Pelodiscus sinensis: one gene and its partner. The protein of the gene in region 1 purifies or fractionates together with the protein of each later gene. This does not show direct contact. Links are inferred from orthologs where the notes say so. Each region holds a gene or a part of one and is shown in the gene's direction. Other genes may lie near its edges.

What was found. The genes of interacting proteins can lie anywhere in the genome.
Region 2: the proteins of FBXW11 (region 1) and AATF purify together in Homo sapiens (affinity purification with mass spectrometry; 3 studies listed by BioGRID and IntAct, with this or other methods). This does not show direct contact. The link is inferred for Pelodiscus sinensis from reciprocal best matches to the Homo sapiens genes FBXW11 and AATF.

Annotation. Positions count from the first base shown.
Region 1 is NC_134727.1:4,105,253-4,112,683, forward strand, and holds the start of FBXW11 (F-box/WD repeat-containing protein 11), read left to right. Parts: upstream 1-4,421; 5' UTR 4,422-4,532; coding exon 4,533-4,577; intron 4,578-7,431.
Region 2 is NC_134731.1:8,441,386-8,449,094, forward strand, and holds the start of AATF (protein AATF), read left to right. Parts: upstream 1-4,708; 5' UTR 4,709-4,779; coding exon 4,780-4,864; intron 4,865-7,709. UniProt on the Homo sapiens protein: Part of the small subunit (SSU) processome, first precursor of the small eukaryotic ribosomal subunit.

The DNA of each region.
Region 1 (7,431 bases):
GAATTTAGATATAGCTGCTCCAAAAGACCAGACTACTGTCACTTGAGCTGAAGGAGACTCTTCACTGGATGTTAGCAAAATAAGACACACATTTAAGCATGCCTCATTTCATCCAGCAGAGGGCACTGGCATACACGCAGACAATTCACTCCTGCTACCCTAATCAGACCTTTTGTCTTAAAGAACAGGCCTTTCATAAGTTTCAGAGGGGTAGCTGAGTTAGTCTGTAACTGGGAAAATTTAAAAAGCAGCAAATAGTCTTGCAACTCATGATACCGTCTACAGGTTTTGTTAGTCTTTAAGGTGGTGCAAGACTGTTTGTTGTTTTTTAAGTTTTTCCAGGCATTTCATGGTTCATCTCAATTCTGACAAAAGTGTAATCAATTAATGTATTTAGGACTTTGAAAGCTATGGGGACTGGGAATTTCATGACAAAGGATATAATTCAGAATTTCCTCCTCCAAATGCATAGGTTGCTACAATTTGAAGAAGCAATCTATTAGCTTTCAGCAATCTAAAGTTTGACAGAAGCAAGCATTTCTAACTCCATCCAGGAGAAGGCAGTACTATACATACATACCAGCCTGTATATTACTATAGTAAAACTTGGGCTTTATCACTGTATGTCGTTCAGTTTATGGGGAATCATCTGTCACATGTTGCCACTAGGGTTGTTAAATATTGACTAATTGACTAATCAAATAGTCGATGCATTTTGCATCGACTATTCGATTAGTCGATAGGGCGCCTCCGTCTTTGAAGTATAGCAACAGAAGAGCCTGGGGTCAGCTGGGGACTCCCCCACTGACCCGAAGCTCTGTGCGGCGCTGCTGCTTTGAAACACCATGGGGAGCCCAGCATCAGGCTCCTCGTAGCATTTCAAAGTGGCAGCGCTGCATGGAGCCCGGGATCTCCAGCTGATCCTGGGCTTCACGCAGTGCTGCCTTTTTGAAACACTGCATGCAGACTAATGCTGGGCTCCCCATGGCGTTTCAAAGTGGCAGTACTGTACAGAGCCCGGGGTCAGTGGGAAGTCCCCAGCTGATCCTGGGCTCCATGCTACACTGCTGCTTTGAAATGCCGCATTCAGCCTGGGGACACCCCAGCTGGCCCCAGGCTGCATGTGGCATTTCAAAGCGGCAGCACCGCGTGGAGTCCAGGGTCTGAGCGGCACTGCTGCTTTGAAGTACCCTCTCCCTCCCCCCCTTGCTACCTCTTTCTGATAGAGGCAGCAAGGGGGAAGGAAGCGACTAATCGACTAGTCTTTCACACCCCTACTTGCCACTAGCCAACCAAAAGTAGAATTGTTTTGTTTTTTTAAATGAGAGAGGTTTTAGGAAATTTTTTGTTTTTGTTTCGACTTCTGAATTATGGCATGAACTGAAGGAAAAGCACTATTACTAACGAAGCAATAAAGGTTAAAAAGGTTAAAAGAATGTTGAGAACTTAAATGTGACACACACCCCCATTACATTTTGTAAAAATAATCTTTTATAAAATCTTATGCCAATAGATTTCTAGGGCCAGGTTCGAAACTTAGCATAGAAATGAGAGATCTCATTCATTACCACTACAGCGTTGTGGAGGAAATTCATCCCTAGTCAGAGGCCAGCAATATATCTTAGTCTAAATTAAACCTGATTTTGAGGGCTTAAGTGGTGTTTAGGCGATCCATAGGCCCTGTGCTAGCCCTCTGCACACAGATGAATTTCACTCACTGTTGGTAGGATGCCAGTATTGATAATACTGCAACAGGTATGAAAATGATGATAGGAACAAGTTTGCGCTCCTGGTCTGTGTCTACACTGGCGCGATCTCGCGCAAAAGCGGATGCTCTTGCGCAAAAACTTGCTGCCTGTCTACACTGGCCACATGTTCTTGTGCAAGTAAACTGACGTTCTAATGTGTAAAATCAGGGCTTCTTGCACCAGAACTCTGATGCTCCCGCTCAGGAAGAAGCCCTTTTGCGCAAGAGCTCTTCCAGAAGAGGCCAGTGTAGACAGGCAACATGAATTTCTTGCACAAGAAAGCCCTATGGTTAAAATGGCCATCAGAGCTTTCTTGCGCAAGAGAGCTTCTACACTGGCATGGATGCTCTTGCGCAAAAGCACATCTCTTCCGCAAAAGCGCATGCCAGTGTAGACGCTCTCTTCTGGAAGAATTTTTGCAGAAGAACTCTTCCGCAAAAGAGTTTTTGCGTGAGAACGTGCCAGTGTAGACGTAGCCCTGGTGAAAAAACTTTTCCTTAGTTTGAGAGTGGATTTCTAATGTGAGCACATATGTGACATCTGGAAACCTACTACTTGCAAGAATAACACATTTTATGCAGACTGTCTCCATCCTCAATCACTACTCGCTCTGTAAAACTATGCAATACTTGAATACATACTCAGGGGATGAATATAAAAACAAACAAAATAGGACATGCTTTCCATACCTATAATAGATTTAAAGGACATTTCCCATCACAATGTGGATCTATAAGGTAGACCACATTAACTATTCATAGCTTTTAGACCTTCATTCCTGACTCATAAATATTTCTGTATAGTTTTCATTGATTGTCACTTATAAAGGTTTCAAAGCTTGGCTACTACTAGCAACTATTGTGTAGTAGTATTGTTTCCTTATATATTCTGTCACTGCTTTCTCTCTCACCATAGGCTTTAGTTATTTTCCATGGTAAAAAAACAATTGACTTTAAATAAGCAAATAGTACACTTGAGAAACTGAAAGTGAAACTCACTATAAACAAAAAGTGAAATTGATTTTTAAAGGGATATAAAAGACAAGTAACATCCCTTTACCATATGTACAGATGGAGCTGGCAGAAACCTCAATTTTTTTAATCTCATATCTTAATATTGTCTAGCTGCACTGGAATGTGCTTACGTCTTTAAAGAATCTGGATGTAAAGCTCTGTTGTATTGTTTCAACTGTCATTTTGGATAGAACAGAGAACATTCAGTTGTGCCATTAAGATGAATATTAGTCAAAATCCTTGCCTAAAAGGATTGCAAGGAAGATAGTGCTAGAATCACAAAAAAGCAATGCCAGGAATGTTACAATTAATAAACTCTATGTGGTCAAAAGATACGGAAATGGTAAGTAAATTCAACAATTAGGGATAATGGGTCCAAAGGCTGCTTTTCATCCCTCTGGCAATGCAAAGGGGCTTTAAGTAGGAAGAAATGGCATCTAAAATCACTCCTTTGTTTTAGGGACTTTCCTAGCTGGCCTAAAGCTGCTTTCAGACCACAGTAAACTCTTCATTCTTCATCGCTGCCCCAAATACAAAAACAGGGAAACTGGGATTCAGACAAATATACCACAGTTCTGAATGAAATACTAGAATATTAAACCGTGTGCAATCATAAGGGCCTTATATCTCTGAGAGCGCTGATGATCTTTTCTGTCCTGCGGGTCTCGGTGGGACACGCCGTGGGGCCCGGCGTCCTGCCGGTCTCGGTGGGACACGCCGTGGGGCCCGGCGTCCTGCCGGTCTCGGTGGGACACGCCGTGGGGCCCGGCGTCCTGCCGGTCTCGGTGGGACACGCCGTGGGGCCCGGCGTCCTGCTGGTCTCGGTGGGACACGCCGTGGGGCCCGGCGTCCTGCCGGTCTCGGTGGGACACGCCGTGGGGCCCGGCGTCCTGCCGGTCTCGGTGGGACGCGCCGTGGGGCCCGGTGTCCTGCGGGTCTCGGTGGGACACGCCGTGGGGCTCGGCGTCCTGCGGGTCTCGGTGGGACGTGCCCTGGGGCCCGGTGTCCTGCTGGTCTCGGTGGGACGCGCCGTGGGGCCCGGCGTCCTGCTGGTCTCGGTGGGACACGCCGTGGGGCCCGGTGTCCTGCGGGTCTCGGTGGGACACGCCGTGGGGCTCAGAGTCTGGCCGGTCTCTGTGGGACGCGCCGTGGGGCCCGGCGTCCTGCCGGTCTCTGTGGGACGCGCCGTGGGGCTCAGCGTCCTGCTGGTCTCGGTGGGACGTGCCGTGGGGCTCAGAGTCTGGCCGGTCTCGGTGGGACGCGCCGTGGGGCCCAGCACCCTGCCGGTCTCTCGCCCCAGGCCAGGGCGGGAGGGCGTGTGGGTGCGCCAGGCCTGCCCTGGGCGGGGGGCCTTGCTGGCAGGTGGGATGGGAAGGTGCCATTGGCCTGGGCCTCAGTGGCCCGCCAGCCCCACTCAGCCTGGGGCTCTCCCTTCACAAGACTCCATCTCCCAGCATGCACTCCGAGGGCCGTTCCTGGCGCCTGGCCTGCTGGGCTTTGCAGTCCTCTCCGCGCCGTGCGGCGAAGGCGCCGCGGAGCCTGCCGGGAGTCGTAGGCCCTGCGGAGGCGAGGTGGGAAGCGGGGGGGCGTTGGCGGCGCTTCCTGTTCCGGGCGCGCGGCGGGCACCGCGAGCCTGCGTGCGTCCGGCGGGCGGGGGGCGGGAGCAGCTGGCGGCGGCGGCCCGAGGTCGGAGCCAGGCGGGGTTCGGTTCCGCGCTGCGGCCGGGCGGGAGGCAGGCGCGGGGGGGAGGGGCGCGGAGCCGCCCGCCGCGATGGAGCCCGACTCAGTGATCGAGGACAAGACCATCGAGCTGATGGTGAGTGCCCCCCCCCCCCCGCCGGAACCTCCCCTCCCCCACCCCAGAGTGCCCCCCCCGGCCGGGCAGGAGAGCGGCGGGGCGGGCCTCTGGTCCCACGCTGAGCCAGGAGTAGGCCCCGCCGCGGCCGGGGGAGGGGGAGCGGGCTCGGGCCTTGCGGGGGGGCTCCCCCCGCCCCCCACCCTGAGCGAAGGTGACATTTGAATCCGCCCGGGCTGCGTGGAAGGTGCGAGATCGGGATCATCCCCCCCCCCCCCCCCCCGCCGGCTGCTGGGTGAGCGGGGCTGGGCCCAGGGAGCCCCCCCCCTTTCCTGCCGCGAGACCTTCGGGCCCACGCGCGGGGCTCCCTCCCCCAGTCCAGCTCCTGCCCGCTGGCCCCCAAATCCGCCCCCTCCTCTTCATTGTTCCTCAGAATAACCTCGACCTGTCATTCAACAAACAAGCCACGCCCCTCCCGAAAATATGGACCCCCCCCCATCCAGGATCTCGTTTGGAAAGCCATTGAAAAGGGCCTGAGATTTTTTTTGTGCGGTGGGGAAGATTGGACAAGCAGGTTATTAATTATTTTTACAAATAATCACTGATCAGTGTGGATTATGTGGGCAATTAAACACACACTTTTTTTTTAAACAAGATGACATTCAGCATGTAGTCATTGTCCCCTTTTTGTTCATGGAGCTCTTCCTGAGATGCAGCATCTTGTTTTTTTAACTTTGAGTACAGATGATGATAAACATCCTCTGCAACCCAGTATTTTTGAATCACTTGGTTAAATTGATTACCAAATATGTAAAGGGGTTTGTCTTAGAAGGCAAAGAATTTGTAGCTTAGCATGTAGGTCTATTTTAATCAAATATATTTTGTAATTAATACTGTGTTTTTAAAGTGGCTAGTGTGTGTGTGTGTATATATATATATATATATATATATATATATATATATATAAAATATTTGGGAATTATTTTTACTCCTTATATTTGAGAATGTGTGTTTTATTTCAGTGAGTAAGCATTTACTGAATTGATTTATATCTCTCAGCAGAAGCAATAGGCCTTTTGTGAATTGTTCAGTGCAGTAAATAATTTTGCAAACTCTGTGTAACTTGAAACCTGGGTTCTATAGTTGATTTACTAAATGTTTATTGCACTAAACTTAGGTTGCCGGAAAGTTAGCTGTGGGACAGTGAGAGGGATTCTTTATAGAAATAGTAAGAGCAGTCACAAAATATTAGTAGAATTATGTTAAGATAACTTTAGGGGAAAAATGTTTTTTAAATTAATATCTGGGATAGATTAGAATTGGTGATCAAGTTTAATATTTTGTGTACTACTTTGCCTGCACTAACCATTGTTACCTATTAGATAGAAATGTAATGATGCACAGCTATCCTTGTTTTGTGTTTGTACAGTGCCTAGCACAATGGGATCTTGTCCATGAATGGGACTTCTATGTGCTACTCTCAATAATTATCTTGTTTGCTTCATTCTGTGTGAAGCATCTGGCACTGTCTACTGTTGAAAGACAGGATGCTGGAGTAGATGTACCATTGGCCTGAGGCAGTATGGCTAATTTTCTTTCAGTGATAAAAATAATGTAGATAACAAGATCTCATGCATGCTTTAACTGACCATTGGAAGTGTTCTAGGTGCTGGATAGGCATAAGATGACACAAATTGGCATTTTTAGGTATTTCCACATTCTTTTAGTAATATAGTCTGAGCAAACGACCAGGTTTGATGTTCTGTAAACTTCTTTTATAAAATTTTCATATCATTGGCTGAGCACTGTTAATCTTGTTCTTTTACTAAGCAGAAATTCATGTTATGCTTTCTGCATTTTCTTATCTCGTTGCTGATCACTGAGGTCTGTAGCTGTAGCTATTCTTAAGAGAGTCCTTTCTTGATCCTTATTGATTTAGTAACCCCATATTTTAATGTTGATGACCTCAGAATTGCTTTCATGTTAACAGCTTGTAATGTTGCAAACAATAGCTGGTGAAATCAACCAGTCAGACATCATCAGTTGAAGAAAAAAATTCTAGTTGTCCAGGAATGAGTTCTACAGGAACAAATATAATTGCATATACAATGCACAAGATGAATTTTAGTGGTGGTTTTGTGTCACATAATGAGTAGGTACTCATGGTGGCTGTGTACTAAAATTTAATGGGTGTTTAAGCCAGACAGGTGAAACAATGCTATCTAACTTTCTTGGCAGTCTTTTGACAGACTGACTTCCATTTTAGTATTTTCTGTTTTTTGGCTGTGTTGCTAACTAACAGAAGCAAATAATTGTTTGGAATAATTTAATTGCAACCGTGATCACTTCTGGGAAATGGTAAAAAAGCAACCAAGGGATTTTAATAAAACAACTTTAAAAGATTTTGGATCTCTTTAAAAAAATAAAAATCAAGGCTTCTTTGCATTATGCAATAGGAATCCAATAAAATGTACAGTTACTTTAGCTAATGTATATATGAACTGGCAGTGCTTGTAAAGAGTGAATGTGTGGGGCTGAAAACCAAGGCTGCTGCTTTCTATTAAATTAATACAAATAATAAGATCAAGAAAAAAGTATATTTTACAGATTATTACATAGAAAACAGTAGTTTGTAAATATGTCTACAATTTTACACTTATTTTTAATGCCAGTTAAGGCAGCATTAAAACATACTTTTGACCTGCGCTAAATGTTATACTGAATCTATACAGTCTTCATAAACAAATATTATTTAACAACTTGATCGTGTTTTGCCTCCTTCCTCAAAAGGGATATTTAAGATTCTGTGAAACTGGAAACAAATAAAAAGCAGCCTGTAATAAATAAATAAATAAATAAAAAATAGTGAAGGATA
Region 2 (7,709 bases), on another chromosome or scaffold:
ATAACCTCAGAGTCTCTCAAATGCCAAAAAGCCATCCAAAGGTTTCATAGAACAAGGGGAAATATGAATGAGGGAAATGAGAAGATGATGTTTTTACTGTAGTCTTCCAGGAGCACACTTGTACATCTGTGACACGTTTAAATCAATGTTTTTATTTTAGCAAATAAGCATTAAGATCTACAGTAACATTAAAGGAACTGTGTTAACTAGTTTGGGGATTCATATTTCCAGTTTGTAAACAGAAAGAAGACTTTACAATACCAAGTCTGAATATAAATGCTTTCAGGAGTGTGTTAAAAATTAAATGAAAAAATATTTTTATTATTATGATTTATTTATTATACAAACATTGTTTTGCATGATTATGAATCTAAACAGTAGCAGTAGCAGTAGCATTGCTTTAGGGCATATGATCCAGAAACTGAAACAGACTAGTCTGTCTCTGTCTGTTTTAATTATCCAAGCTGAGTGAAATGCAAAAAAGGAAACAAACAGAATAAAATGGAAGAAGGAAATTGGATTTCTGCAATATTTTAACACTCCATGGTGTGTTAGGAGTAGGGATTTTTTGTTTGGTTTGTGTTTATCTTATTGGAGTACCTTTACCAATGACTAACCTCCACATATTCTGAAGCTAGCCCAACACATCTCTCAAAATGTGAACAACTTTAAGGATGTGAATAGTCCCAGTGGGTTTGATTCTCCATTGTTCTGTATATTATGCTGCCATTCATACCAATGCAAAGTGAGGGCAAAGCTACCAGTCTGATTTTGTAATGTTTTACACCCACTTTGCTTTAGTGTAAATGCTGACATGAGGGGCAGGACATCAAAGAATTAAGCCTGTTGGCTTCAATAAGATTACCCATCTATGTGAAGGTATACATGAGCTGAAATGCCTGGTTGGATGAGGGACTTTATACAGAACAATAGAGCTATTAATCTCAATGGGTGAAATCCTGGCCCCACTGAATTCAATGACAACAATCCCATTGATTTCAGTGGGGCCAGGATTTAACCCAATGGGACTAGTGTAAATCACACAACATTTGGCTCATGGGATGTTCTCTGTGGATAAAATAATACATTAGGAGCATTTTATGTAACCATCACTAAAAACCCTCTCTTCTTTCAGATAGGTGGATATTGGTAGCATACCTTTGGATAGCAGAGTATTTACAAGTACCTATATTTATTATTTCTCTATATTAAATATATACATGTTCCTCCATTAATAATGTGAGCTTGTATTCTAGAATCAAAATGCCTGTTAAACCTTAAAAAATAGAGTCCAGAATGAACAACCACAGAATTCAAACTCTGTGTGTCCACAATTTCATAATATTGCGTTTAAAAAACAAATATGGTAAGGAACCCTCATTGTATGCTACAGTAAAAGCAAATAAAAAAAAAACAACAACAACCAATGTAGAGTTTTATAGCCACCTTTTCATAGCCTCAAAATGTAATTTACAACACAAAATATACATCCTTTTGTTTTTCTATTGTTTCCCCAGCTAAAAAGTATTTCAACTCTACACTGTGTAAAATCCAGGGCCTGATATATAATAAACACGTGCATTGTAATGAAAGTTTATATATATAATACCAATATAATATTATATTAGTTTTATATGCTGTTCTTTGTATATAATACGAAACAAACACCTTGCAGGGAGACTATCTCTGGGAACTTGTCTGGGAGCTTCTCCCAATCACATAGGATTTTGGGATTAGTCTCTCCTCATGGTGTTTTATAGGGTTTTCCAAAGCCCTCATTGGAAGTTAGCTGAGCAGTAAGCAGCCTCGGCTACTGAAGAAAATGGTAATTAATGATATTCCTCTGCCCTCTGTAGGACAACTGGCTGCACTGAATTCTTCTGCTTCAGGGGGAATACTAGATCCTGGAGTAGAGCAACAAATGCATGACACCTTGGTTGCTGCTTGCATTCTAATTAGAAAACATGTCTGGATTAATTTTTATAGCATTTAATGGCAGTGGGGAGAGGTTTTGTTGAATGGAAGGAGTGTATGAGGGAGTATCATGCTGAATTTCTCTTAGCTAGATGTGAATCTGGTTTTGGATTGGCATTTGTAACTCGAACCTACCATCTTAAGGGGCTGAATCCAAACACTGAATGTAAATAAACTGAAATTTGGGGAGAATCAGATTTCAGTCTTCTATGTTTTTCACATTTGGGGTTTTAAGGTGAATCATTATATACATGAAGTTTAGATCCTGATCTGGAATTTTGGTCTGAGGTTTTGTAAAGGTCTGCCTATGCACATCCTTGTGCGAGACAGGGAAGGAAGTATATTAAAACAAAGAAAAAAATTACCTTGAAATATTTAATACACAAAGTGAGAAAATAATTTACACTATATCATATATTAAGCAGCTTTTTTTACAAAAATAAAATGAAAGTGTGGTGTTTATTTTATTAAGTATTTTAAATGTTTATGATCATATATAAGACATGGGGGTGAGGAACTTTTTTGGGTCAGGGGTCGTCCACCCACAGAAAAGTCAGTCAGGGGCCGCATATGAGGGAGAAGCAAAAAACCAAAATCTCATTGACATGGCAAGTGTGAGTCAGAGCTAGGACTCGCTCAGAATCTCCCAGTTTTTGTGTGCTTATGCCATTTATGTATAATTATACAGAACAGGTGTTCCAGTTTATTAGATAGTAACCATATTCTCCAGCACGTGACCTCAAAGGTCAAAGGCCAAGGTGTTGATTTCAAACATGGGACCTTATTCTGTAACTCTTGGATAATTTTACTCCACGGGACTGATGTATGAATAAGGGTTGTGGAATGGGCTACAGTACTAGCCTAGGACATAATTATTGAATTAACAGGGACTGACCTCAAGTTCAAATTCCAAATGGAAAAAGCAAGATTTTTTGTAATAAATAACTGGTTTTAGTAAGAGTGGCTGCTGCAAGTTCCTTCTGTACTTCAAAGTGTTAATTCAGTTGGGCCACATCCTCAGCTAATGTAAATTGTCATAGCTCCATTGACACAATGAGACTTTACCCAAGATGAGAATCTGGCTCATTGCACAAGAACACACTTGTGCCCACACAAAAGGTAGAACCCTATTTACCATAAAATTTAGTTAGATAACATATAATTTTTTTTGAAAAACAAAATCTATGTGAGGGGTACATGACCTAAATAAGGATAATGAGTGTGTTCCGGGGGAAAAGGGTTGTAGGTTTTTCTGGTTTTATAAATAAAACATACTCCTTACATAGGTTTACATACATGCTTAGATAATCATACATTCCCACACCTGCACCCACACATCCTCCTCTCCCGCATTAGCACTCACACTGATCCTCCTTTACCTCACCGCAACACACAGTGTCACGTACCACAGGCCCTGCTTCACCCCACTTATCCATACAAAAGTCCCACCCACTTAGCCTTCCCTCACAACCTCTCTTCAGCTCCCCTTATACAGCCAGTCCCCGACTTATGAACGAGTTACGTACCAAACACTAGGTCGTAAGTCCATCTGTTCGTAAGTCGGATTACATTCACTTACATTACGGCCGCGCTGTTCGTAAGTGCGGATTTTGTTCGTAACTCGGGTTCCGGCTGTATAGGAGGTTGGTCGTAAATACAAATGGTTGTAAGTCGATGCTTTTGTAACTCGGGGAACCAGCTGTATACCCACTTGTCCTCTCCTTAATCCCCTCTCCCCCCTGCACCTCCCTTTATATCCCTGGCCTTCTTCCCCCACCTTTTACCCACTCCCCCATCGCTTCATCTGAACCCATCCTCCCCCTCTCCATAACCACTAGGGTTACCAATTTTTGTTGGTCATATTCCCAGGGGCCTTCAGCACAGGACAAAAATCTTCAATGAGAGATTAATTTTTTAATTCTTGGAGCCTCCAGGACAGTCCTGACCCTGGAGGGTAAGCAGTCTTAATAAGCACACCCCCACCTCATCCTGATATCCCCTTATACCCACCCACTCCAACCCCCTTAGTGATTCCCCCATCCCCCTTTATGCCCCCTGTGATTCCCCCCTCCCTAGTGATTTCCTCACCCCCTTTATATGCCCCTCCACCCCCTTAGTTATTTCTCATCCCCCTTTATACCCCCTCGACCCCCTTAGTGATTCCTCATCCCCCTTTATACCCCCTCGACCCCCTTAGTGATTCCCCATCCCCCTCCACCCCCTTAGTTATTCCTCATCCCCCTTTATACCCCCTCGACCCCCTTAGTGATTCCTCATCCCCATTTATACCCCCTCGACCCCCTTAGTGATTCCCCATCCCCCTCCACCCCCTTAGTTATTCCTCATCCCCCTTTATACCCCCTCGACCCCCTTAGTGATTCCTCATCCCCATTTATACCCCCTCGACCCCCTTAGTGATTCCCCATCCCCCTCGACCCCCTTAGTTATTCCTCATCCCCCTTTATACCCCCTCGACCCCCTTAGTGATTCCCCATCCCCCTTTATGACCCCATCCCCCCCTTAGCCCCCTCCACCCCCTTAGTGATTCCCCATCCCCCTTTATAACCCCGTGACCCCATCCCCCCCTTAGCCCCCTCCACCCCCCTTAGTGATCACCCCCCTGCTCCACCCCCGAGTGCTCCCCCCACCCCCTTGAAAACCACGCCCCCTCGCCCGCACTCCCCGCCCCTGCACCCCAGTTACCCCCACGCGCGCTGACCCTCCCCGCCCCACGTCAGGCGGAGCCGCTCACTCCCCCCCCGGAAGCGCGGCCTGCTCGAGCCCCCGGCGCGGCGGGCAGGGAAGATGGCGGCGCCCCTAGCGCTGCAGCTGGAGCAGCTGCTCAACCCCCTGCCCCGGCCGGCCGACCCCGAGGACGACCCGGAGGAAGGTGAGGGGGGCGCCGGGAGGGGGGCGCCGGGCTGGGCCACGTGCGCGCCTTGTGGGGAGCCGAGCGCGCGGCGCCCATTGCGCGGGCTCCCGGGCGGCGGCGGGGCTGGGGGCTCCCCGGGGGGCTCCGCCCCGCCCAGGGGCTGCGGGCGGCGTCTCCCCTCAGCGCCGTGCGCCCCCCCCCCCGGCCAAGGGTGGCCCCGAGATCGCCGGGCTGAGGGCTCCCCAACACTGCCACCGCGCCACGTGCTCCCTCCTGGGCAGGGGCTGGGGGCTGCCTCCGCCCCCCCCCCGCCCAGCGCCGTGCTCCCCCCTCCGCTCCCGGCAGGGGCTGGGGGCTGCTCCCGACCCCCCCCAGCGCCGTGCTCCCCCCTCCGCTCCCGGCAGGGGCTGGGGGCTGCTCCCGACCCCCCCCAGCGCCGTGCTCCCCCCTCCAGCTCCCGGCAGGGGCTGGGGGCTGCTCCCGACCCCCCCCCCAGCGCCGTGCTCCCCCCCTCGCTCCCGGCAGGGGCTGGGGGCTGCCCCCCCCCCAGCGCCGTGCTCCCCCCTCCAGCTCCCGGAAGGGGTTGGGGGCTGCCCCCCCCAGCGCCGTGCTCCCCCCTCCGCTCCCGGAAGGGGTTGGGGGCTGCCCCCCCCCAGCGCCGTGCTCCCCCCTCCGCTCCCGGCAGGGCCTGGGGGCTGCCCCCGACCCCCCCCCAGCGCCGTGCGCCCCTCCCCCTGGCCAAGGGTGGCCCCGAGATCGCCGGGCTGAGGGCTCCCCAACACTGCCACCGTGCCACGTGCTCCCTCCTGGGCAGTGGCTGAGGGCTGCCCCCGAACACTCGCCCTCCCCCCCCCAGCGTCGTGCTCCCCCCCACTCCCGGCAGTGGCTGAGGGCTGCACCTGACATCTCCCCTAACACCATGTGGGTCCCCCCCCCCCCCCCAGCAACCAGGGGCTGCCCTTCCAACACCTTCCACAGCATCATGTGCTCCATCCTGGGCAGTGCCTGGGGGCTGCCCCCTGACAGTGTGTCCCCCAGCAGCCGTGGGGATTAATCTCTAAGAATTTCTCAGTGCATTACACCCTAGGCCACTGGGGGATGTGCTTTTCACTCCCCCCCCCCCCAACTCTTTTCTCCTCCCTGAATGCTGAGTGGGGTCTGCTTCCCCTTTCTCAATACTGCTTCTCTCTTCTTCCTCTCTCCGACAGTGACCAGGGGCTAACACCTATGCTTCTTTCCCATTTCCAAAATTGGGGCCTTCTTTCCCTTAACTCCTCTCTCTTCCCTGAGGCTGCTCCCCTTCTTCCCCCTTAGTGCCTATGATAGAACCTCAGGGTTAGGAACTGATCAGTCAACCACGCATAGAAGTGAAGGGGGGCCGATACTGCATACCGGTAAGAAGTGGTCGCTGGCACTGGCCCATACACGGTCGAAGTTTAAGTGCTGACGCAGTAACACTTTAAGGACCCTCCTTACCATCGCAACGCTTTAATGTCACTGCCCCTTCTGCTCTCCTCATCAGTGTCCCTGCCAGAGAGTGAGGGGAGCAAAAGGGGCAGCTACCTCAGGACCTGGCTATTTAAAAGGGCCCAGGACTCCCAGCTGCCCCATTGCAGTAATTGAGGCGTGGCTGGGGACCCTAGGCCATTCAAATTGCCACTGGGCTACTGGTATACTAATATACCTGGTATACTAATAAGTCCTGGCAATTGCTTTTCCCCTGGCTACACACTTCAGTTAGAACTGCAAGTACACAATCAGACAGCAGCAAAGACCACAAAAACAACAACAACCCCCCCAATACCATATAGTACCGTGTTTAATGTAAATTGCAGAGAAAAAAAAAGCAGCATTTTTTCTGCATAGTAAAGTGTCAAAGCTGTATTAAGTCAACATTAGGTTGTAAACTTTTTTGAAAGAACCACCATAATGTTTTGTTCAGAGTTACCGACATTTCAGCATTATGAACTACCTCCATTCCTGAGTTGCCTGTAAATCTGAGGTTCTAGTATACCACAGTACGTGTGTGCTTTCCCTTTTTTCCACTGTGGGCATTTGTGTGGCCTGCCGAACCACTTGGTAATTATATTTCGATACCCATTTACCTTGATCCACAGCTCAGCACCTATGCGAGGCCTCTCCATTCTGAAGAGTCTCCCATATAAATCACTGGGGCCCTGAGTGGCAGCATGACAGTCCTTGCAGTTCATCATCTCATTTTGGTGGAGATGGATCTGTCTTTCACTACTCCTGCTATACTAGTGATTGTTTTAAGTTTTGTCTTTCAAGCATCCCAGCATTATGAAGGACTATCACTCTTTACTGCTCAAAATGTATTCTCCCCCCTCCTCCATGTGAGTTTGCTGTGAACAACTGTATTCTTGTATTAATTCATATAAAGATGCAGCATCACAAAATTTAGTTTACTGCTGGGGAAATTAATGACCCACCATTTTAAGGTTCTTTAGGGGGTAGCCGAGTTAGTCTGTACAGGATAAACTTAAAAAACAACAAATGGTCTGGTAGCACTTTATAGACTAACAAAACATTTAGATGGTTTCATGAGCTTTCACGGGCACAGCTTTCTGACTTATTTTCATGTGTCCCTCAGTTTCTCTCTGCATGTGTCCCACATTTGGCCAGATTGGTTATACTGGTGTGTGATGAATTGATTGATTTAGTCACTGTTCCATACTAAGCAGGGCCTTGGACATGTATCACAGGGTCCTGTTGTTTGCATTGTGTCCAAAATGCATGCTGGTTTGGAGCTTAAAAACTGTACTGGACACCGAATATTTCACAAATTAAACCAGTCAGCCAAAGGCGGCTACAGATATGAGGGAGGATGTGCACCAGTGACATC